2 linked regions of the Astyanax mexicanus genome follow. The protein of the gene in region 1 purifies or fractionates together with the protein of each later gene. This does not show direct contact. Links are inferred from orthologs where the notes say so. Each region holds a gene or a part of one and is shown on either strand. Other genes may lie near its edges.

Region 1 (11,724 bases):
TTTCAAATCCATGATTAAAATGCTTGTTGTTGCCCAGTACTTTCTTCGTGTCTCAGCAGGTGGTCCTTAAAACTTAGTATTCACAAAACCGTGAAACAGATGACAAAAAATGATCAGGAACGGTTACAAAGGTTAGTTCTGCAATGTGGGCTTCTGAATGAGGGTAAAGCAGAAAAGCAAAGCTCGTGACAACTTAACTCTCATGATTGCACTGAGATTAGGGTCTAATTGAAAGGAGTAACTGAGACCTTTGCTCATAAAGCCGCCAGGACTGTCCGTAGTTGTACATCGTATGAGTTGAAAGGCAGCAATGAGAGCACACACGCTTCCAACGAGTTATTCTCAACAGCGACAAGTTTCACACAAAGACCACACACCGAGCTTCAGACATGTAAATGTAATCTGCAGTCTTTCATGGTAGATTCAACAACAAGAAAGTTTCGAGCAAAACCTAATAGAATCTCTGGGCGCATCCGGATTACGGTTGAAAATGGCTGCCTTTGCACATTGTGTTAAACGGTAATTCTTCGTTTTTAAGTGAACATGCATTATTCTTTGTGTATTTGGCTAGCCATCCGAGCCAGGCTCGACGAGTGTAATGTAGTGGTCGCCATAACATCCATCAAATAAATTATCAGGCTTGTCTCTTGCAGCGCTGCAAACAAATTGGAGAAGATGGACCATACATCGAGTACACCTGAAAAGGAAGTAGGCCACGAATATAAAATCATAAAATCAAATGCGCTACAAAGTGTACTTTAAGCGATATCACATAGAAATCAAGTGTGTGTGTGTGTGTGTAGTGCGCGCGTGTGTGCGCGGTGTGCGAGTCTGATTGTGAACTTTTGATTTGGTAAACAAACACCTAGTAAAGCGTTTGTATCTCTTTACACTATTTTAAAACATGTTTCTTTGAAGAAACAAAAGCGTAGCTCCTTTAAGTGTACAAATGTTTAAAACAGTGATACTAATTAAAACATATATAGATGTTTTAAAAAATATATTCTGTTTGAACATAAGAACTGACAGTGTAAGATACTTTATATTAGATGTCCTTCAATGAAGTATGTGCATTTCAAGCACCACCGTGCAAATGTAGAATTTTAAAAGTGCAGAATAGATTCAGCCAATAACAAATTATTTAATATTTAATAGCTCTAAATAAAAAAAAAGGTTCCTAGGGCCGCGACAACGATGGAGGAACTGTTGATTTAAAGTGAATCGGCTGATTTAACGACCCTTCATTCAAAAGAAATGCGCCATTACAATCAGGGACGCATTAAAACCTTCCAGTACTGACGCAAGGTCGCTGTGGCTTGCTGGGCCTCCGTATTATTCACAAATACGTTCACCAGGTTCAGCCGCTTCTTGATTTTGACACGTGAGAATGGGTTGGAGAGCCGCCTAGGCTTACAGCTTGTAACTGTTCAAAAATTTCTTTCTCTACATTCCCCGAATTAATTTTCAATGTACCGAGTTTTCTCCATATAAAAGAATTGAAGACATTAACCTCTCTAAAAAGCCATCTAAATGCAAGCACATTAAGCTGTCAACAAACAAGCCGCCAGGTGGAATAAACAGCTGCCAGGATTCCGTATGAGTCCCAGAGTACAATGGAACAGGGGAAAACTCCAATCCACTACTTTAAGGGAATTAGCATTTATCAGCTGTCCCTTTCGTTTTAGTTAATGTGAACCTAATGTGCAAATGCACCGACAACTATTAATGAGCTGTCAAGAAATGTAAACATCTTTTAACAGGCTAATTCAAACAAATTATTACACGAACCATACGAGTATAGCATACGTTTTTTTTTTTTACCTTTGTACACATTAAATATGAGTTGAGATGATTGAAACTGGTGTATTATATTGACCACAGCACAGGACTTTTCGTTTAGAGCTTTGTTTAAAACCTCAATGCATAAAGTTTGTAAGGAAAATTAGACTTCACTGGAGAATACTTCAGGCAATTCTCCACATAAAATTAGAATTATGCACAATACAACATACTGACTGGAACTTTTGCAGTATAGAACGTGGGATTGTTTTTCTCCCGGACGCTATTCTTTAGTCTAATTTGCAGCAGATATTCTGGTTACGTATTTAATGAATATGTTTACATTTAATATGTTTACATTTATTCGAAAAATCTTAGATCATCAAAATACAATCAGGAAAAAAACAGGTGTGTCCAAAGTGGTTTTCTAACTAGGCTACCATAGCCCTTTACTCTTCACTAACACACGCGCTCGCGCACATACATAATGTTTATACACTTTATCAATACGTAAACAAGAGGGCCATTGCATTTTCCCCTAGCTTCTCCCCATCACTGTATTGATAGACTATGTGTATATTGTCTTACACTGTTATTTAGGGGAGCACTGCTGTTTGGTCAGGGATCTGATTGATAAGCTTGCTTTTAGGAGCGTTTGTTTGATGTGCGCAGCTTTTAAAGGAGTGGAGACCTCACCTTTACTGACTCACTCGTGGCCAGACAAACGCTCGCGGTAAAAAGAAAAGAAACCCCAAAGGGCGCCGACTTCACAAAAGCTCTGCTTTCGGTTTACCTTTGCAAAAGACAAACAAGATTAAGGCTTTCAAATATAACTGAAGGTATCGAGCGTGAAATAATGTGCGGATTTTTTGCGGGGTAAGTGAGCACTTATAATGCGGGTGCCAATTCTGAGGCATTTTCTTCTGCAAGAGAGAATGTGAGCTATTACACACAGTAAAAAAGGGACCTTCTTGGCTGAGATAAAAATAAACGCACTTCACATTTTGTAGCTAGCTCTTTCTCTGTCCTCAAATGGGGCACACACACTTTAGAAAAATTAGAGCATTTCAGAAATGTTGCAGCAAAACTGGTCCTTAAATGTATACATTTTTTTTTCAAAATTTAAAACAAAATATGCTATGATATAACTACACTATGACTGTATAATTCTATGCATAATTGGCTAAATTCTGACAAACAATTATACTAAAGGCGTGTTAGGAATTAGATTTTTTTTCATAATTTATTAATATGATTGTATGACTGCATTTAAGTCAAATATCTATAAGTTACAAGGAAATGAAACGTACAAATACAAATGGAACTCAAATAACATGGAACCCTCAATATTGATAAAAATTTATACAATATACATATCGCTAAAAACTATGTATTTAATTCAACCATTTTACAGAAATGTACAAGCTACGGCTTACATTGCAATCTATAAGAGTCAGGTTGAGAGGAGGCGTCTGTAGGGGACAAAAGGTTTTTTGCTTTAATCCGTCGGGAATGTGGGTTTCTTATTGTCTCCGTTTAAAAGCTATTATAAATAATTCCATCTACTCCGCGATCTTTGGACGCACATCCTGGAAAGGTCATCTCATTTTTCTCAGTCTGAAAGAGCTGAATTGTTGCTCGTTGCCTGTATTTTTTTTTGTATCCCCACCAGTCTGAGGAAAATTTAGGGGGTCAAGCATGAGAATGGGCAACAGCCGCTGTTCGCATGACTATCTGATTATTTCAGTTTTCTCGTTGACCTGTTCAGGGTAGACGCCGAGACTGGGTAGCACAGTTACTGTCTGTCAGTCCGTTTGTCTGTCTGCTTTATTTTATTGTCCACTCCGTCGTCACCACGTCCTGCCATAAAGCAGAGCGGAACAGGGTAAGGCCGCGCCGTACTCAGTACCGGAAGAGTTCAGGTGTGACAGACCGGACACCTGAGTTTGGAGGGACGGGGGGCTAGCGCCGTGCTGCCCCAAATCTGGGGACTGTCCGGCACTGCCCACCTGCTGGCTCTGATGCTGCCCCATTGAGCCGTTGCTGGACATGATCATGACGTTGGCTCCCTGGTGGTGGTGATTCTGCACGGCGCTGTTGGGCGTGTGGCCACTGCCTTGGCAAGGCTTGCCGTCCTTGACTAGCACTGGCACTGCCACTCTCCGAGGGGACTGTTGCTGCTGTTGCTGACACGAGCCGCCCTCCTGCTGCATTTGCTGCTGAGACACTTTGTCTTTGGCCTGCCGCTTCATTTTGTAGCGGTGATTTTGGAACCAGATCTTGACTTGGGTTGGGGTCAGGTGAATCATGCTGGCCAGGTGCTCCCTCTCGGGCGCGGACAGGTACTTCTGCTGCTTGAAACGCCGCTCCAGCTCGTAGACCTGAGCTTGCGAGAAAAGCACGCGACGCTTTCTCCTAGGCGCGCTGCTTAGAGAGCCCATGCCTTTGCCCACGTCCGCCAAAGAGCCCAGGCTGCTCATGCTGCCCATGTTCATGCCAGAGGAGGAACCCATGAAACGAGAGACTGAAAGAAAAGAGGACTAATTAAATACAGCAGATCATACTGTAATGTTACAGTAATGATGATAAAGAATACTTGACATTAAATAATTTTACGAAAACTTTAATATACAAAGCATAACAACAAAAACAATATTAATAATAAAATAATAACAGTAATAATGATAATTAGACAAAATAATAGTAAAATATCATTAAAAAAAAATCAGTAATAATCAATACCATTCATTTTCTTTCTGGTATTTTCACTACGCCCAGTTACGCCAATTATGCATACGTGATGCTCATCCCGTTTTCTTACATTCGCCTTAAGCAGGGTCAACGCTCAAGAGCTCGTTAACGGGCTGAGTGGATTTGTTTGAGCTACTACACCTGCCTCCTTTAACTCCGCGAAAACAGCCGTGAGCAGTAAACCTCACCCGACACCGTGCATGTGGACCGTATGCCATACTTTCTAAAAGGAGCTTGTTCTAAAGGGTTAGCTGTACTGCTGTATACAGGTGTTCTCCTGAACTAGTGTAAACTACCTAATAGCTTGACTAAAGGAAAAATAGTCGCCTCCGTGAAAACCGAGTCAATTCCTAAAGTGCCAAAAAAGGTGCATGTGACACCTCGCGTCCTGTCGTATCAGCCGACGACGACATGCGTTCTCAAGTGCACTTACTTGTAGAAAAGCGCGGGTCAGGGTTTGTTCCGTACCAGCTGGTGGCTGTCGTGCTGCCCCTCATTCCGTCCTGATAAGCCGGGGGCAGCTCGCTCATGTTGCCCAGGTTCCCGTTGCAATAGCCTCCCATGGCCGTATGAGACAGCTGCGAAACCCCAGCCGCGGTCATGTGGTAGGCGGCGGGCACCGTCCCGTTGTGGCCCATGTGGTGCTGCTGCATGGTCGCCTGCGTGACTTGCGGTTGTCTGTACGAGGCGAGAGAAGCACCCAAGTTGCCGCCCTCCATACTTACTTTTTTGTAGCTCTCCTCAAGAGGACTCAAGATATCGGACACTGAGAAAGGAGTCGTATGTTTGGGGCTCATCGACATTGTTTTGTGCTGGCGAGGGAAGAAATTAGAAGGCAAAAGCGAAGCCGTCCCTTCTCGTCGCTGGCCAGCTTCCTCTGGTTCCTGTTGCTTTTCGTGCAGCGAGCTGGACACGTAAGAGGGAGCCTGGAGTCCGCCTTAATTGGCTTGAGTGGGAGCTCGAGGCTGACTTTCGTTTGTTTTAGCTGGGTGCCAGGTTTAAGACTACCATCAGAGGCGGGGCATCAGCAGCAGCGAGGGCAACAATACAAAGCGACGCTGTCATCTGTGCACCAAACGCAAAGAGCCCCATTACGTGGTCGCGAGCTGCCCCTGCCATCCCCCCAACCCAGCAAAACGCGCGCACATGCGAGACCCCATCAGCGCGTGAAGGTGTGCTGGTTTCACTTTCAAGGTGTAAATGTCTTTATCGCTCTCGGGGTAATGTCGGGGAACAAAGTGATGGATGGAATATTGACGGTTGGAGTGATGTTTATGAGGGGGGCCCTCTTAATGAGAAGTGCACACGCAGACTTGAATCTTTGAAAACCCACTCAGTTGTTAGAAAGAAGAAAAAAAAAACAGAGAGGCAAGCTTGAGTTGAACTCCTGACTTTTAATGGCCACAAGAGGCTTGTGGTGATTGCAGGCGTGTTTACATTATTGCCCCATCGTACTCAGACATGCAAAAGTGCCCTTGCAGTGAGGAAGGAGCGCTAACTGATAATAAATAAATAAATACATATGCGCGTGTTAAGAGGCTGCGTGAATGATTAACTCTCCGGTTTTCTGTGTGATACATTATTGGGCGTACGCAGAGTGTTGTCCAAATTCCCATCGACTCCACACAGACGCGCAGTGTTAAAGAAACCCGCTCGACAGAAGAAGGAGGAGGAGGAGAGGCTCTCAGGTAAAGTTAACGGCGCTCAAGTAGCCTGCAGCTCTCCAGCTCTTTATCGCCAGGCAGGTACACACAAAGCTCCGCTCACTGCGCCTGGTCGCAGTATGTGGCCTCCTGTACTGGAGACATTCTGTACTGAATTAGTTATTAAGACACTAAGCAGCAGATTTTTGCAGCCGTTTAGAACAGCACGGAATATCTGATAACTACAGAAACACAGGTCAACGGATCAGTTAGATCTTTCATATTTATTTAAATATGTATAAAAACATGTATATAGTTGGGTTAGTATAACATTACTACTGCTGCTACTACTACTACTACTTCTACTACTACTACTACTACTACTACTACTACTAATAATAATAATAATAATAATAAGAGGAAGAATATATCAAATAATGCTTTATTACTGTGTAAATTATGTGGACTTTTTCGTTGCTGCTACAATCATTATTATTATTATTATTATTATTATTATTATTAGTGGTGGTAATAATAATAATAATAATAATAATAATGTCAAATAATTATTTATTATTGTGTACATTATTGTGTATTTCCGTTGCTACTACTACTATTATTATTATTATTATTATTATTATTATTATTATTATTATTATTATTATTACTATTACTATTACTATTATTATTATTATTATTATTATTATTATTATTATTATTATCGTTGTTGTTGTTTTATTTAGACCTATAACAATTTGTATAGCAGTTAATGTGAAAAGTTCATTTTCAACAGCTGATGAGCGCTAAGTGCATACCTTAAAAGTACCTTTATGTGTTTTTTTTGCAAATAAACTATTTCTTTATTGTTTGTCTGTTTGCTATGTGCAAATGTCAGGGTTTTCTACTCTTCCAATAGTTATTTTCACATTATTTTTCGTTTCTATAAGTGTTATTATTTTATTAATAAACTACCAGCCAGGTGGATTGTGTTAGATGTGATCGGTAACTTACCGTAAGGTAAGCAGAATCGTAAATCTGAAATTACTCCCTCCTGTTCAAACAGGTGATTTACATACACGAGAGTAATACAACCTTTAACACAACCAGTAAGCAAATGTGGTGTAGAGTGAATCTGGAGCTGAGTGTGTGTTGATTGCTTAATAAAATTACTGTTTAAAAACATTTAGAAATGTTCACATAACCCTACGTAGCGGAAAACAAGAGTTAGCGTTAGTGCATAAATATTAACACAACAAATGTTTTATTAACAATATTATGGCGATTGTTAGTAATACATGTTCGAGCAGTATTTTGTATTCATTCAGAGTATGTGTAAAAGATTGTGGTATTATGGCATGACAGTTTCTATTAATTTAGATTTATTTCTAAATGGAAATCGATCGGGCGACAACCGGTGATGTCAGGCAACCACATTTAAATATAAAAAAAATATGCATACAAAAATATCTTTGAAACAATACTATCAATCTGACAGACTACCCGCTTTAATCATGTAATGTAAAGCGCATGCGATTCTTCATTAGGTTTCACTACAGGCTGACGAAAAATTAAGCAGAATTAAAAATATTGCTTATCCGTAACGTGTAAATCTCAATCTTTGAGCCTGGTCTGCAGCCCCTGCAACCACATTAAAATGATAGCAGTTTAATTAAATTGCCGCCAGATAGGGCATGTAAAAATATAAAGCTTTAGCCCCCTCCCTCCCGCTTTCTCTGGCTCTCTTTTATTGTTTTGACTTGAGGGTAGACAGCGTCTTCTGGTGGTTATATCTTGAACAAACGTCAGCAAGGTCAGTCCCACAGCGCTTCTTTCTACGTTTACATTAATTTACTATCGGTTTAGTTTAACACAAACAACTCTTCACAATTTTAACCAGTTCTCGATCGTTTTTATGCTTTTTTTGCTTCGCTTATGTTAACTCCAGCTGCCACACAGTTGTAGTGGCAGTTTAATTTAGTTTGTTTGTGGCAGTATCTGTTGGGCCTGGTAGAAGGTGAAGACACCTTGGCACCTCGCGGTGGTAATGAAGTGTACTTCGCACAAGCAATTATAACAATTAGACTCATAACGTCGTTCCTTCGAAGTCCTGGGCCTCCTTAAGCCAGTATTCAAAAGCCTTTTTAATTATCTACATCAGGCAGAATCCTTTGTGCTGGAGCACGGCTATCATGGTCAATTAACTATAATTAGACAGAATGCTTTCACTTGTCCCTTGGAAAAAACACAACGACAAACGCTGTATTTGGGCACATGTAAGCTTTTGTTTCAATCTAAACCCATGGTTTATTGTATGTCGGTTCATGAACGACAGTAGGGTGAGCTTTACATTTCTGATCAGTGGATCTAAATGTATAAAATTACCAAATGAGCTCTACACTCTTCATCACTTGTGTCTTAGGAGACAGAGAAGAATGTGTGATGGAAATAGTAATAAGGAAATCGTTGCCTGTTTGCGTCTCTTCAAAAGCTCTGACAGAACTGATTATCCATTGCCCCTGTACACGAAGAATCACAGTGCAGGCCTGACACCTAGTGGACAATATTGTGCAATTTCTTTGGGAAGGGTGTCACTAGGGACTCTAGTACTTCTTAACCCTGTATCAGTAGAAACCAAGCAAAAAAGACTGACCTCAAGATGGAGCCAATGGCGCGTTAAGCCTCAACCCACGACGTGTCCATTGCCTTAGATTTCTTAACATTTAAATGAATATTCCAGAGCTTTCAAATAGTTTATTTACTCCCAAATGTTATATGTTTATGAGAGGTTGATGATGTAATCATGCTGGTACATTGGAGACAAAAATGTTTCATCACAAAAATATAGTAAAACTCTTAATGGGTTTTCAAACACACTGTGTAACGTCGTTTTAAGAGGCTCTGAGGCCTGATGCATATCAATTCAGATTAGATAAATGCTGAAAAAGACAAATCTGACAACCAGCACTTTTATACACAATACATTTAGCTATTTTATAAACTACACAGTACTGGTTATATAGTTGTCATTCCCTTGTGCACGTATTTTAAATTATATGATTAAAAAGAATATAAGTGCATAACTATTATGTTTCAAATAGTCTAGCAGTGAATTATGAGTATTCCAATTTAAAATATCCCCAGCTATCCTTTAATTTTTTTAGCCTCTTCGCTCACTAATATACCCCCTGTGATTTATAAAACATTTTCTGCTAACTTTTGTTGTTTATAAACATACATTAAGAAGAATGTAAGTGAAAGTCACATCCTATCAATATAATCCCCCTCTTTCTCACATTCTCTCTTTACAGAAAGCTCTTAAAGCCTGTCTTTGTGACTCTCACCAAGCCCACCAAGTTTTAAAACACCATTGTGTGCTTAAACCCCATAAATTTGTCACCCAGGACTGATTAAACATCATGAGAATTGAAACACTGAGGATTTTGTCTAGGTCCTTTTGGAGCTTGCACAATGGTCTTTTCACATGGAGACCCAAACAAAAAGCGGTGAAGGCGCTCCAGAGCGCTCCAGTCACCAGCACGGCGGCCTCCATATGTGGGGCAAGGTGGCTTGAGACAGGACAAAAGGCCAGGTGACGGAAGATGCGCAACAACCTCTACAATTAATGACGAACAGCTTTGTGGCTAAAGCAGCCTGGAAGAGAGAATGTAATTGCAGACACATAGCCATCTCAATAGATCCTTATTTTATGTTATAGCTCGCATTTGTAGGGTGCATTCCATACATTATTTTATTTTATTCGATATGATTTGGACGCTTGCATTAAAATAATAAAAATACTATTTATCTTTAATTCTTCCATATATATCATGACGTGAATTACAGAATGGACATTGATATCCTTATAAATAGTTAGCTGCCCGGTCAAAGAGCTAGTCTGTGTCCAGGCCTAATCCTGCAATGTTTACCTGCTATTCTAATGCTGAGTTTTAAAATACGACTCAGGATTGGTGTTTGCTCTTCTCTGCTGGGTGGAAGTGAAAGTCTTAACATTATAAAAGCCTTTTGCGTCTCGCTGGGCACTTTACTCTTCAACAGCACCATCAAATCTTTAATAGTACATAACAATGCCCCGGATTAACCAAATGTGTCCAAAAAGAACAGTAACTGAAGTGAGGTCTGAATTAAAGCAATCATTTCATTTATTTGTTAAATTATTTTAATTATTTTTAGATATTAAAACATAATACTACTACACTGGTGGAGTGGGTTCTCTCCACATACATTTTAACTAAGCACCGAACACCATAAAATTACCATAAACCAGCATGAATGTTTTGTTTAAAGAGGTTTCATTTTTACTTACAAACTTCTAACAGTGTTTTATAGTGAGTGAGAGGAATGCTTAAAATAAGGAGTTCAAAACATTTATTTTTATTTTTTTGTACAAAAAAAACTCTAACTCTGATATGATGCCCAGTTTTTCAGTTATTCTCTTATCTTATATTTCGTGTTTCTATAAAAAACATAAATCATCTTCTTAACTACTATAATATATATTCACACACATTTGGCCTGACAGCCAGTTTTTCAGTACGTAGTTTAACAAAACTTCACAGAAAACATGAGAAAACAAATACACTAGTTCCTAAATATAAAATATAATATGTGCAAATTGCATTTACTCAGTCAGTGTTTACACTATACATTTATAATAGTCCAAACAGGCGCCCTGCACGCTGGATCCATGTCGGAGGGTTCACCAGAGGAAGTGAGGTCTGTGGTCCTGAGTAAAGTGCTGGTACTGGGGCAGAAGAGCGAACGGCTGGATGCGCTGGAAACTCTGAAGCCCATAGGGCGGGATCGAGCAGACTCCCTTTTCTGCCTCTGCGACGCAAGTATGATAGGGTTTCCCATCCCGAACCAGAACCGGTACAATGACCCTGCGTAGAGACGGTGGCTGACCGGCCTCCTGGACCCCACACTCTGTCCGTGCTCTCTTCATCTTATACCTGTGGTTTTGGAACCAGATCTTGACCTGCGTGGGCGTGAGTCGCAGCGCGCGCGCCAGGTGCTCCCTCTCTGGCGCAGACAGGTAGCGTTGCTGGCGAAAGCGCCGTTCCAGCTCGTAGGTTTGTGTCTTAGAGAACAGCACGCGTCGCTTCTTCTTCTTTTGCTCCATTTCCGTGGCTTCCTCGCCGTTGCCGGTAGAGTCAGGGGATGTCTCGGGGTTGCTCTCATCGGAGGCTAAAGAGATAAAAAGCAATAAACATTTAATTTGAAGTATTAATAAATAAAAAGAGATAAAATAGCCTACCAGACCACAACCTAATGAAAACCCATGCATGCAATTACTATTTTTTTTTACAAGACATCTAGGACGAAGCAAAAATGTATGAATGAGCAGAAGTCCAGAAAAGCAACTTATTTTTCTTGTGATCTTAAGAGAACATAGTTTTGTGTGAATAACCAGTATTGGTTTCTCAACTTTTTGTCATGATAACACGGTACAAAAAATAAGTTGTGATCACAAGAAAACAACTTTGGTCATAGTAGGATGACAAGAAAATTTGTGACTTCAACATAAGGCCCA
Region 2 (12,156 bases), about 4.9 Mb from region 1:
TTTAAAATCTATATTGAAAATGTTCAAATTCATTTAGAATAGGGTAATGAGTAAAATAGTGTATTAAATCGGTTATGCCGCTCAGCGCGTTCATACAATGTGATTCCGAGCCGATTAGATGAAATAAAATCTTACACTTTTCTTAAATGTATTATTTATTCCTTGCACTGATTTGGCTTTTATTTTTGTTTTGTTTTTTTGTTTTACCATTTAAGGGTTTTTATTACACGTTATTAGTTGTAGGAGTGCTTGAGCAGTTTTTCTTCTGTCTTCGTTAGCTTTTCTTCAGGATCATATGATCAACTAAACAATCCGGCCTAATACAAAATAACGCGCGCTGTAATTTAGAATATTACACTAGAATTTTTTTATGTTCTTTAAGTGTGTAAATATTAAATACATAAAGAAAAATGTAAAACGAGCCGAGTAAACTCTCACTTGTTCGTCCGAACTCCACCCTCACTTCATTTCCCTCATTTTATTTACGCATCGGGGGGCAATTACATGATAATTAAATGAATTTCACGGTTAGTCAGCCAAAATGTGTGTCTACAAAATACCATGATCAAAGTAAAATCTGTTCAGGTTCACGTGGCCGTCTTGTAGGTTACGCTCGACAAAAAGATGATTTGGCCTCTCTATGATATTGTTAAAAATCCCATTTAAAAGGCGATCGGATCTTTTCTGGCGCGGGGCTTTGAGGCTGCGTTTGTGTTAGACTTGGATTTTCTCTTGGTCTTTTACCAACACGCAGTCAAAGCACATACACTCAGCCAAAGCGCTTCAGCCGAGACTGCTGCCCCTCACACAGACCACCGAACACCAACAGTGCCCCCTTATTATTTACCCCAAACTTCTGTATTAGATATATTTATTTTTTCTTTTAGATTTATTTAATAAAGTGTTAGAATAAATTACGCACAACTGAATCCCACACTTTCAACTGGAATTCATCTCCAATTATTCCTGAATTACATTTTGATAAACTGATCACAAAAACGGTAACACGACAAAACACTTCAACAAATATACTCCATAAAAAAACATTAAATTGACCTATACATTGCCTGAGTTATAAAAGTGATAACAGACATGTAATTGTGTTTGAGATTACACAGATAACAAATGAACCGCATTAGTGATCGCCGATTAAAGGCAGTAAACCCCTGCAAAATATGCAGTCAGCTCTAAACATAAAGATGCCACGAACACTGCCTGGCGTGATTAAGAAATACGTGTTTTATTCGTAATGCATTTCCACGTTTGATTAACTTACTTCAGTACAAGAATTGGGATTGAAATGTTCTTCTCAAACGAGGTAAATAAAACCCAAAAGAACGAGTAAAAGGACAACATCCAAATACATCTGCAGCAGAGAGGTGCTTCACCTTTTTTCTTTTTCTTTTTTTTTTGTTTGTTTACCTGCAGCGCGATCCACAAGACCATAACTGACCTTCATTCGTGCACATTGTAACACACGGACACATCATAGTAGGTAGGGGTCTACAAGTTTGGGGATTACAACATTATTTTACAAGCTTAAAATCGCCTTAAATACACTAGCAATGATTTATAGGTGGGATATACAATCATTCAGGGGAACACTTTACAATATTTTATTATACACATACACGTTATTATACTTTAAAGTAACAGTCCTTTATGCACTGGGTGCATGCAAAAATAAAATAAAGTTTATCTGTCAGCAAGGGCTGAGTTCAGCAAATAATGACAAGAACAGCAACAACAAAAAAAGAAGCAACTAAGAAGTGTTAAGAACCGGTCTTGAATACACACCTTGGTAGTAAGACGCCTCTAAAGCAGAGGGGTCCATGCTGGCTCTCCCGGCCATGGAAGCACTGCCTAGAGGCAGGCTGGAAGACATACCTGAGCCATAAGATGAATATTGCAATGCTTGTTCGTAAGCTTTCAAGTCCAGTTTGTGCTGTTGCTCCGAGGAGGACATTAAATTATTGATGGAAAATGGGTGGTTGAAAGAGTAATGGGGGTCTCCCTTTAGGTGCAGCTGAGACTCATGGGCCATAGAGTGCGGGGGCAAAGGGATAGAGGAGAGAGATGTGGCTGAGCTGGCCACGGGGTGTATCTGTGGGCCGCTGCTCTTTAGTTCAGAGTTGGTGGTACTGCTTCTGTGCTCCAAGCTGTGAGGGCTAGAGGACTGGTTTGCGTTGGCTATGGAGTTGGAGTCCATGTGCCCGGTCTTTGTGTTTGAGTTGTCGCTCGAGGGCGAGCTTGACCCATTCTGGTCTTTTCTCCCATCTTGCCCTTTCCCACTTCCTACTACCTTTCTGTCACATTTGAAGCGCTTCTGTCTACGTAGGTAACAGCCATTCTCAAACATATTCCCAGAATCAGGATGCAGGGTCCAGTAAGAGCCTTTTCCTGGCTTGTCGGGCGACCTAGACACTTTGACAAAACAGTCATTGAAAGACAGTGAGTGTCTGATGGAGTTCTGCCACCTTTGTTGGTTTTGACGGTAGTATGGAAAAAGATCCATTATCCACTGGTAGATCTCACTAAGTGTGAGCATCTTGCTGGGTGACTGCTGGATAGCCATGGTGATGAGCGAGATGTAGGAGTATGGAGGCTTGGCATGAGGATAACTTCTCCTGAAAGTCTTGTTGTCCCGTGCCCTGTTGAGGTTGGGCTGAGCGTATGTCATGGGGCTCATAGTGGGGCTGATGCTTGAGTAGGGGTTCAGTGCATTCATGGAGCTGTGCTGGGCTGAAATCGCATTCATGTTGGTGGGGCTGAGTGCCGTGCCCATGGATGATACCCCGCCACTCATTCCATTCATTGCGCTGCTTGCACTCGACTGCATCCCTGCCATAGTCCCCGGGCTTAGTCCAGCACTTAGAGCAGGGTTCGCATAAGACATGTTAAAGGAACTAGAGGTCATATTCCCACTGGTAGACATACTCATGTAACTGTTCATACTGTTCATGGAGCTCAGTCCAGTGTTCATGCTGCTGTTTGTCATGGGAGAGTACACCTGAAATGAAATTTAATAAACATAAATAAATTTAATGAAACATAATAAATATTCGTTAACAAGAACAGTGTTTTGTGATATAGTAACTTAGTAAATACTTAAATAACTAAATGTGAAGGATATGCATATTTTACATTATTGTACAGCCTTTGTTTACTAGAGAGAACAGAATTAATCAATAAGCAAAGAAACAAATAAATCAGCACAACAATACTAAGAAATAATGAGGAACATTATGACATACAGATTATTTTAGTGTGACTGCTTTGTACTATAATTATTTAACAAGAATTAAATGAAAGTTTCTGTTCTCTGTGTTATTAATATAGTTTATACCAGGTGTATATTCACTGAGGTAAGACCTGGTATTTTGTGGTCACGGGTTGAGACATTTTAAATAGATATAGACATATAAACCCATAAAATTATCTCCTAATATAAAATGTCAAATATTTTAACAGACAAAGTATAAAACTATTCATTATATAATTATTTGAACGTTTAGTTGATATATTGTTAAATAGAACTATTGCCTTTATAATAAACCACTAGAAATCGTTTTTAAGAGTTTATATAACATGTATTTTCACTGCATTTAAAAATAAAATCTGTGAAAAATGTTAACTAATTTTAGTTTATTTTATAACGATATAGTGATTTAATTTTACCAAACCTGCACAGAAATTTGAAACTATATTAAATATTTGTCAAATAAACGTATACAATATTTTAAAATATTTTTAATGACTCCACATACATCTGCCTAATATTAAAAATACTACATTCTTTAAAGCATATTTAATATTTAAAAACGCAGTTTTAAATCAAACGCGCATTTTCAGCAGTACTCTAGTTAGAACAGTACTATTCTAACGACTAGTGCACACCGGGATCACTACCGCCACCAAGTGGGACGGCCAGTGATGTAGGACCTGATTAGAAAACCTAACAACTGGAAAATACCTATTTTCATTTCCAGGCTTTAGATTAATGTTTAAGTAGAACTGAAGTAAAATCTGACTATAAAAACGCGTTTACTATAAAATCTGCATTGCGCTTGTTTTAAAACTGCTGGACTAAATTCTGCAGTGCCCACATTACATTACAGTAGACACAAGTCATCACACGTACCTCTTGCGCATCGGTGTAATAACTACTCCAGTCTGGAGTTTCGTGTCCTTCCATTTTCACTGCTCCTAGCATTATGGTGGAAATCTACAGGTCGTCAACATGCAGTTCTCAGACAGAAGTTTTCACCAAGCGCTCCGGCGAATGGTGCGCCAATCAGGGGTGGGAGGTTGCGCGGCGGTTTGGGCGGACTGAAGAAATGCTGGGAGCGCAGTGAGCTGAGGGCTGTGGAGATCTTCCCCTCGCTGTTACGTAGAGAGCGGTACAGCCCACTTCACGGGCTCATTTGCCTAGGTCGCTCTCCTCACTCAACTAACATCTAAATATCCCTCATGCCCTCGGACAGAAAGGTGTGGGGCTGTTTTTAAAACTTTGGCAAAGTTTTGTAATATATATTCCCGAATATACGAACAAATCTTAATGATTTGGAAATATCATACTTAAATAAATAAAACTATTCCATTATGCATTTCAAATTCTTACTGCGGGGCTCGTGTTTTAAACGCCTACAGAAAATGTATTTTTTTATAACTAATCGTATGAAATAATTGTTTAGATTTGTAGATTTTTCCAGATTCAGAGGTACATTCTTTTAGGAAATGTTAAAAGGTGCTGGTGGTGTTATTTATACATGTCGTGTTGTATAAAGAAGTTAAAACTGCTCTCACTATCCCGCCCCTCTCCCGGATAAACAAGGCTTACATTTCCCCACTGTAGCTGCACACCTGCTAATGAGCGAATAACAGCGCTCATCATCCACTTACAGCGGATTATCTCCGAGTGATCTCTCACACAATTACAGCACAAATCGATTTTCCACGGGGCGGAATGAAACGGCTCTTCAGGCAGAACATTACACCGTGTTATCACCGCCCCCTGAGACCGGGGGTTCACTGCGCTGGGCCGGAGCTACACGGCGAGTCGCACAACCAAAGGCACGATTTCATGGATTGAGCCATGAAGGCCTTTTTTTACTCTCTGTGGATTATCATTTAGCTATTCAAGCTTAGAAAAAGCGAGCCTAGCCCAATCAGATCATTTATGCGTTTTATGTAGAACTATTAAACAGCCTCATTTTGGTTTTTTTTTGTTGTTGTTTTGTTTTGTGTGTATTTAGTTTTTTGTAAGTTGTTTATGCGTTTCTTTTTTGCATGCATGCTGAGGTTGAGAAGAACCAAATTTCCCCTCACTGCAAACATACAGCTGGCTAACTGATTATAGCGCAAAGGCTACAATATTAATTATAACTTACCGTACATAACATACAGTATATTTACGTTAATTCGACCTCCAATACTTTTAGCTTTAGCTGCATAATAGCAACCGTGATACAAAACTGACGAAACATGTCAAACGTTTTTGTGCTGCTCAACTGTGTTCATGTTGTGTTCACAAAATTGTGTACATTGTATTCTTTTTTACATTGAATGATTAGTTTTTTATGTTTACCGTTCACTTGCTGCTTGTATAAACTTAATTTGCCAGTGTTAAAGCGATACACAATTAATTTACCATTAGTATTAAATTAAACCAATTAATCACAATAATTACGTTTTCGACTTATTTATGACAATATATGGCTGTGACTGTTTTTTTTTCTAATTGTTGATAAACGTTATGTCATTAAAATGCACGGTTGTTCACATGCAACTTAACTTGAACAATATTTTATCTAGTCACCAATGACCAATGCAGCAATAACTCCATGCACAAAAAGTGTAACTGTGGCAGGCAAAGAAATAAGGTTACTCTCCTAAACTAGTTTTAATTAAAAGTTTATTCAAAAAGTACGGTATACCATTGATATGGTCTAAAAATGACAATAATACTGTTAATCGCAATAATGTTTAGGACAATATATCCTTCACAAAAAGTTTTCATGACAGGCCTACTCACAGAGTTAAATTCACACTGGTAAATGTAGCTAACCACTGTGTAAAATACTTATTTGATATCTCAGCTAGAATGCTGAGGCAGGATTACATTATGGACTTACAGTAAATTAACATTATCTTTATAATATTTGCTAATCGTGATGTCTATTGTGTTTATTTGTATGCTTGTATATAACATATATAACAGTGAACAGTATTTTAGCCAGTCATGCAATGATCAATTACTGCAATCAGTGACTCAAAACACACAGTGTGAACTACAGTACGGTAAAAAAAAAAGTAAATATTTCCCAAACTCTGATTAATTAAAATGCTGATGTTTTTAAAAGGGTATGAATAATTAGTTCTGATATTCTATTGCTATTCTATTATCATTATGTCAATGTCATTTAAATGTTGTTAGAATTACAATAATATCATTTCTTGGATGACATTTCGCCCACAAAATAAAAATTGTCAGAATCCTACATAACCCTTACAGACCCTGCCTCAATTACAATAGACATAATGTTGTTCTTTTTTAAACTTTTTTTGCACATAACACTAATTGAGACAGGTTGACCATTAGAATGGATCATAAACCAGCCAATGAAACAGTAGCTTCACTGCCCACTGCACTGGACAAAAAAAAAAAATCTGCAACTCGGACATTAGGGCATGTGAGTACTACAGAACAAATGAGGCAAAGCATTACAAGCTCTTTTTTTTACTAATTCTTTGTGATTTAGAAAACTTTTTTTTTATCATGTTTAGGATTAAAATGTTTAGTTAATTCGTTTTTTTTTAATAGTTTTTATATTAGAATAGTAATGTCTTATTGTGTGTGCATTACAGAGAGAAAAAAGCATTCTCATATTTTTCCATCACTGAAACCTACAGCTCTGGAAAAAATTAAGAGACCACTTCAGTTTCTAAAACAGTTTCTATGATTTTGCTTTTTATATGTTTGAGTAAAATGAACATTGTTGTTTTATTCTATAAACTATGGACAACATTTCTCCCAAATTCCAAATACAAATATTGTCATTTAGAGCATTTATTTGCAGAAAATGAGAAATGACTGTAATATCAAAAAAGATGACCTCGAATAATGCAAAGAAAACAATTCATATTCATAATTTTTTTGCTTTTAGATAACTTTATTCCACTCCTGGTGCAAAAAATCAAGCATTTCAGCTTGGCTTGATGGCTTGTGATCATCCATCTTGCTCTTGATTATATTTCAGAGGTTTTTAATTTGGTAAAATTGAAGAACCTCATCATCATTAAGTGGTCTCTTTTTTCTCAGAGCTGGATAAAACAGAACGGGAACGGGATAAAACAGCAGTTACTGGAAACGTGTGAGTTTCCAGGTATAATCCAGTGTAGTTATTAATGTGCGTGTTTTCAGTCTGAACACATTAGCAGTTCAGTTTAGTGCTCTACAGGTTTGCCATATAGCTAAGTGTCCGGCGCCCCGTTGCCACAGCAAGGTTTACTGGTTGGTTGCTAGGAGACGGGGCTGCTGGCCCGCGCGCTGAGAGAGTGAGTGGAGGAAAGTTTCATAAAGTCTCTCTCTGAAAAGGATCAGAAAATTAGCTACATTTCAGCCCCACATAACCAAAAGCAGCAGTGACAAACCCAGAATGATCGACTAGTCCTGAGAGAAATCTGTGTTAAAGGTAAGAGCCAATTTATTTAAGGTAGCACTTATTTAAATTTGAAAAGTGACTCAGTAGCTAGATCAACTAGCATTAGCTGACCATGTCAGTTAGCTTAACTTAGCTCTCACACCACAGGGTTAAATGATTTTAAATGTCACGCTCTGTGCCCAAATTCTGAATGCAAGAATTTTGTTTTGAATTATGGGTACATTAAGACTGAAACACAGTTAGATAAGTGTTACAAACAGGACACTGCATTGTAACTTACCCTCAACACTGCTGATTTCAGCATCTAAAGTCATAACCACCTAAATGTAAGTATAAAAGAAAGGAATAATGAGAAACAGAACAGATACAGAGTATCAGCCAACACAGGCCGCAGTTGTGACTTAAACTTTTTTCAACGTCACCAAGCATGTAAATAATGTAAAATATCAAACATTAATGTGCTTTTGTACGTTAATTCTAATATTAACACAATTTTTATCCATCTACACACAACACATATAATATTTAAATCTCCCACACAAACCACATCAACATGAACCGACAAGCACATGAAAGCAGTATTAGATAGCTAGCTAAGTTACCCTGCTTGTTCTGCTAATTCAGTGCCATTAAAGCATACTTTACCTTAGCTGGTAACTTTCCAAAAAAAAGGAGGTTTGTCCATAGAGCTACATAATAGTGAAAAGGCCTGTCTGCTGAGTGTTTGAAATATGTCATCATGACTAGCTTCACCAGAAGGTTAGCTGGAAACACCAGAAGGCTAGCTAACTAGCAGTTGTGTTTGTGTGTTTTTTTCATTTGTTGAAACAACAAACGCATGCTGTGTGAACGGTGAAGCAAACCTAGAATTACATGTTTTACAGCACTTAGCTTCCGTTTAAAGATTGCAATTAAGTATCTTAACCCTTATATGTAGCTTAGTTTAGGCAAATAAATAATAAAAAAAATTATATAAACAACTACTCTCGACTTACGTGACCAAAGAACCGCGAAAATGACCTCGTTTCGTCACAGTTGGACTGGGAGTCGATTTCAGAAGGAGTCGGTTCGTCTATTCTAGTCATTTGGGAATCGAGTGGACACTTCAAGGCTTTAGACTCGATTGAATATAGAGATAAAGACATACCTTGAGTTCTAAAAAATACTTATGCGAAGTTTTAATACGGTAATAATGTTACCGTATTTTACGTTCGACAACTTTAAAAACAACATAAAGCCTAACATTCTGTTGAAAAGGTGGCAATCTTACAGCCATTTTGGCCTTGATTCCTTTACTTACCTGAAGAGTCAGAAAGAATCAGGTAAAACAAAAATCAAACAGCCAAGTTACAGTTTAGCTAGATTGCCTTGCCTGTACTGTTAAATAAAATGTTTCATTCTTAAAACCAATGTTTCCCACTAAAGGTTTGAAAACTTAATTAATATTGTAGCTTTTATTTTTACTATTTTGTGGTTTTGTGACTCATTGAATTCTGTCAAAAGTAAGTACATAATATGCTATCTGTTAAAACAATTCTTTAAATAATCTCTTTCTGGTATTATTACTTTGAATCTAAATGAAGCAAAAACGTTTTAATTGAAAGTTTCAGTGTTTGATAGGGTTTTTTTTTTGTCTGCATAGAGTTGGTCCAACACATTTAATACAGCAAGTAAGTTGTGACTGATGTCAAATAGCACTTACATCAGTACAGAAACGCTTTATTTATTTTTTTATTTAGCTAGTGATTTTTGCCACGTGCTATAGACAATGAATAATTTAATTCTAAAACAGTCAATTAAATTGCAACCCATAGTACATTCTTGAACTGTTTCGTTTTGTCATCATTGTTATTTTGATGGATTATGTATTCATACAGACAACATGCCAGGAACAGTGAGGACATTAAACACAGTGAGCAGCTAAAGATGAAGAAACTGATCGAAGAACTGCGTTAAAAATTCTCCACAGGAGTTTCACCAAATGACAAGCCTCTTATGTAAAACAACACATTTAACTGCTCAGGTTACACCTAAGGTACCTGTCTACAGATATTCACCAGGGAGCCACTTGTGTCCTGCTCCTTACAAGTTCAAGCAGACCTTCCTTAATTCAGCCTTTTTTTCAATAAGGTACTCAGTCAGATAATAACTCAAAGACATCCGAAATGAAAAGAAATATCAATCCAAATGTGTCCACAAGTGAAAAGACTTCACCAAAGCTTGGTTCTGGACAAGAGGCGGTGAAGACGCCAGCTATAGCATCTCTTGCAGGAACCGCTAGATTAGTATCTCTGTCCAAAAGGCCTCAGCCTCCTGCTAAGCCTAGATCAGAGAAGCCTTCAACAGCAGGGGGGGCTTTTAAGAACCAGACTCCTTCAGAGCAGTTGTCAGGTGAAAAGAAGCAAGCTCCTAGAAATCAGGGTCAGTATTTAACAGTTCTGGATAGATGCTGTTTGCTGAACTCCTTTAGCTCTGATGAAATTACAGTGGATCGTAATGAGTATGAACAGGATAGACGAAAATGCAGAAAGGAAAGCGAGAAAAAGAGAAGACAGCTGACGGATAGGCAACAGGAGGAGAGGGCTTCTAAAGAACACAGCTCAGGTAGTTCTAAAAGCAGCTCTGCCACCAGCACCATTCGGAGTATAAAGTCTGTCACTGAACTACTAGAGGAGGCCAGAAATATTGCAACTGGGGGACTGCAGGAGATCCACCACCAGAGGGTGACAGAGAAAGCAGTATCAGATATGATGAAGCAGGAAAGTGGACACACAGTGAATGACCAAATGACCAAATGTGGAGACCTGCATACCTCTGAGCCAGGGGTACGAGAACATGTGGTCTTTGATATTTCTGATAAGCAGGTAAGTAAAGCTACACATTAGACTGCCTTTTGTGTAAATTTGTGTGATTTGTTTCTTATCTGTTTTTCCATTCACATTTTATTATTCTATAATTTAAAGTGACAGTATGTATTATTTTGTTTCTAAACTTCCGAGTTTGTTTCTTAAATTTCCGAGTGAGGAAGGGACAAAATATTGTATTTAATGGTACCGGTGTGCTTTTTTCATGGAAATTCTTCTGGTTTGGGTAAAGTTAAACAGCAAGAAAAAAGTCAGTTGAGTAGAAAACAAGAAAAAGAGCAAACATAAGAATCTACTTTGACAAGGGCCAAATTGTGATGACTAGATGAGACAACCAGAACAGGGTGTTTCCAGTATACTGTATTCAGTTGCAAAATATGTAAAACATCACATTCAAAAATATGTAAAAAAAAAAAAAAAAATCTAACAATTACATTTGGGCCTGAATTCCATATTACATGAGTGTTGCTATGATGGTGAAAGCAGAAAATGCTGGATCTGACATAAGACATGGTAACACATCCAATGTTTTAACAAATAGCTTAAAACAGCACACCTCAACACTGTGATGGATTTCTCTTTGTGAGATACTAGCGTTACTACCCCAATTCAGAAAAAGCTGGGTCAGTATGGAAAATGCAAACCAAGTTTCTTGCATTTGTTTTGACCTTTTACTGCTGACTCTATTAACCCTTTTAGATCTCAATAATGCTCCATTGATGGAAAAATAGAATAATGTGGTTTTCTGTCTGTAAAGCACACAAAAGAAGATTCTAATATTATAAGATCAGATCTGGATACAATTTAAATCCAATTAACTATAATATATGATTTATTTTTTATGTCCATTGCAATGGAACGCTGTGTGTGACAATATTTATTTAATATTGTATATTGACCATTTTCTTTCACAAACCTAACTTAAACAAAACAAAAAAAAAATCTAAATCACATTAAAAAGTTGTTGTATCTAAGTAGTTCAGGTTTGATGGTCTACTTTTAGACAGTTGACCAAAGTTAAGTGCTTCATTTAAAAACTGCTCATTAGGGCTACATAGTCTTATCGCTTCAGTATCACCTAATACTCACACTTTCAGTATTACAAAGTGTTATTTTGTCATCACTAAATGAGATCAGTCAGATACATTTATGCACACAACATAAATAATCACAAAATAAATAATTACAAGTCAGACAGTTCAGTATGGACTATAAAGTCTGAAACTGAATAGTCTGATTGTTGAGTGTGTTTTATGTGCACACTGTGTATCTCTTTCTCAGGATGAGCTAGTTTTAGTTAAGTCACCAGTTCAGACAGTGGCAGACTAGCATTTTGAAATCTTCCTTCAGGGTGACATAAATTCACAATTACACATCATACATTCATGTTTACTACCAGACTACATCCTTGCAAAATAAGTAATGAAAAGTTGTTCAGACAGAATGATTATGTGTCTTACTCAAGGTCCGGAGCCATCAGGACGTCCTAGAAGGCATCAGAGAAGAGAAAATTCCTGCAGGGACTATGAATCATGCACCTGATTTGACAAGGAGCTGTAAGGTAGACATTCTATATTCACAGAAAGTCTCAGAGCTTATCTCTGATGAGGTGAGTCTCCAGGTTCTCT

The links.
Region 2: the proteins of nkx2.1 (region 1) and foxa1 purify together in Homo sapiens (affinity purification with western blotting; 3 studies listed by BioGRID and IntAct, with this or other methods). This does not show direct contact. The link is inferred for Astyanax mexicanus from reciprocal best matches to the Homo sapiens genes NKX2-1 and FOXA1.

The regions. Positions count from the first base shown.
Region 1 is NC_064421.1:23,803,420-23,815,143, forward strand, and holds nkx2.1 (homeobox protein Nkx-2.1), read right to left. Parts: upstream 5,736-11,724; 5' UTR 5,334-5,735; coding exon 4,964-5,333; intron 4,304-4,963; coding exon 3,630-4,303; 3' UTR 3,154-3,629; downstream 1-3,153. Other genes in the region: nkx2.9 (NK2 transcription factor related, locus 9), read right to left, coding at 10,891-11,378. UniProt on the Homo sapiens protein: Transcription factor that binds and activates the promoter of thyroid specific genes such as thyroglobulin, thyroperoxidase, and thyrotropin receptor. Crucial in the maintenance of the thyroid differentiation phenotype.
Region 2 is NC_064421.1:18,933,319-18,945,474, forward strand, and holds foxa1 (hepatocyte nuclear factor 3-alpha), read right to left. Parts: upstream 4,492-12,156; 5' UTR 4,214-4,491; coding exon 4,142-4,213; intron 3,011-4,141; coding exon 1,763-3,010; 3' UTR 1,222-1,762; downstream 1-1,221. Other genes in the region: uncharacterized protein ttc6, read left to right, coding at 9,830-10,528, 11,994-12,137. UniProt on the Homo sapiens protein: Transcription factor that is involved in embryonic development, establishment of tissue-specific gene expression and regulation of gene expression in differentiated tissues.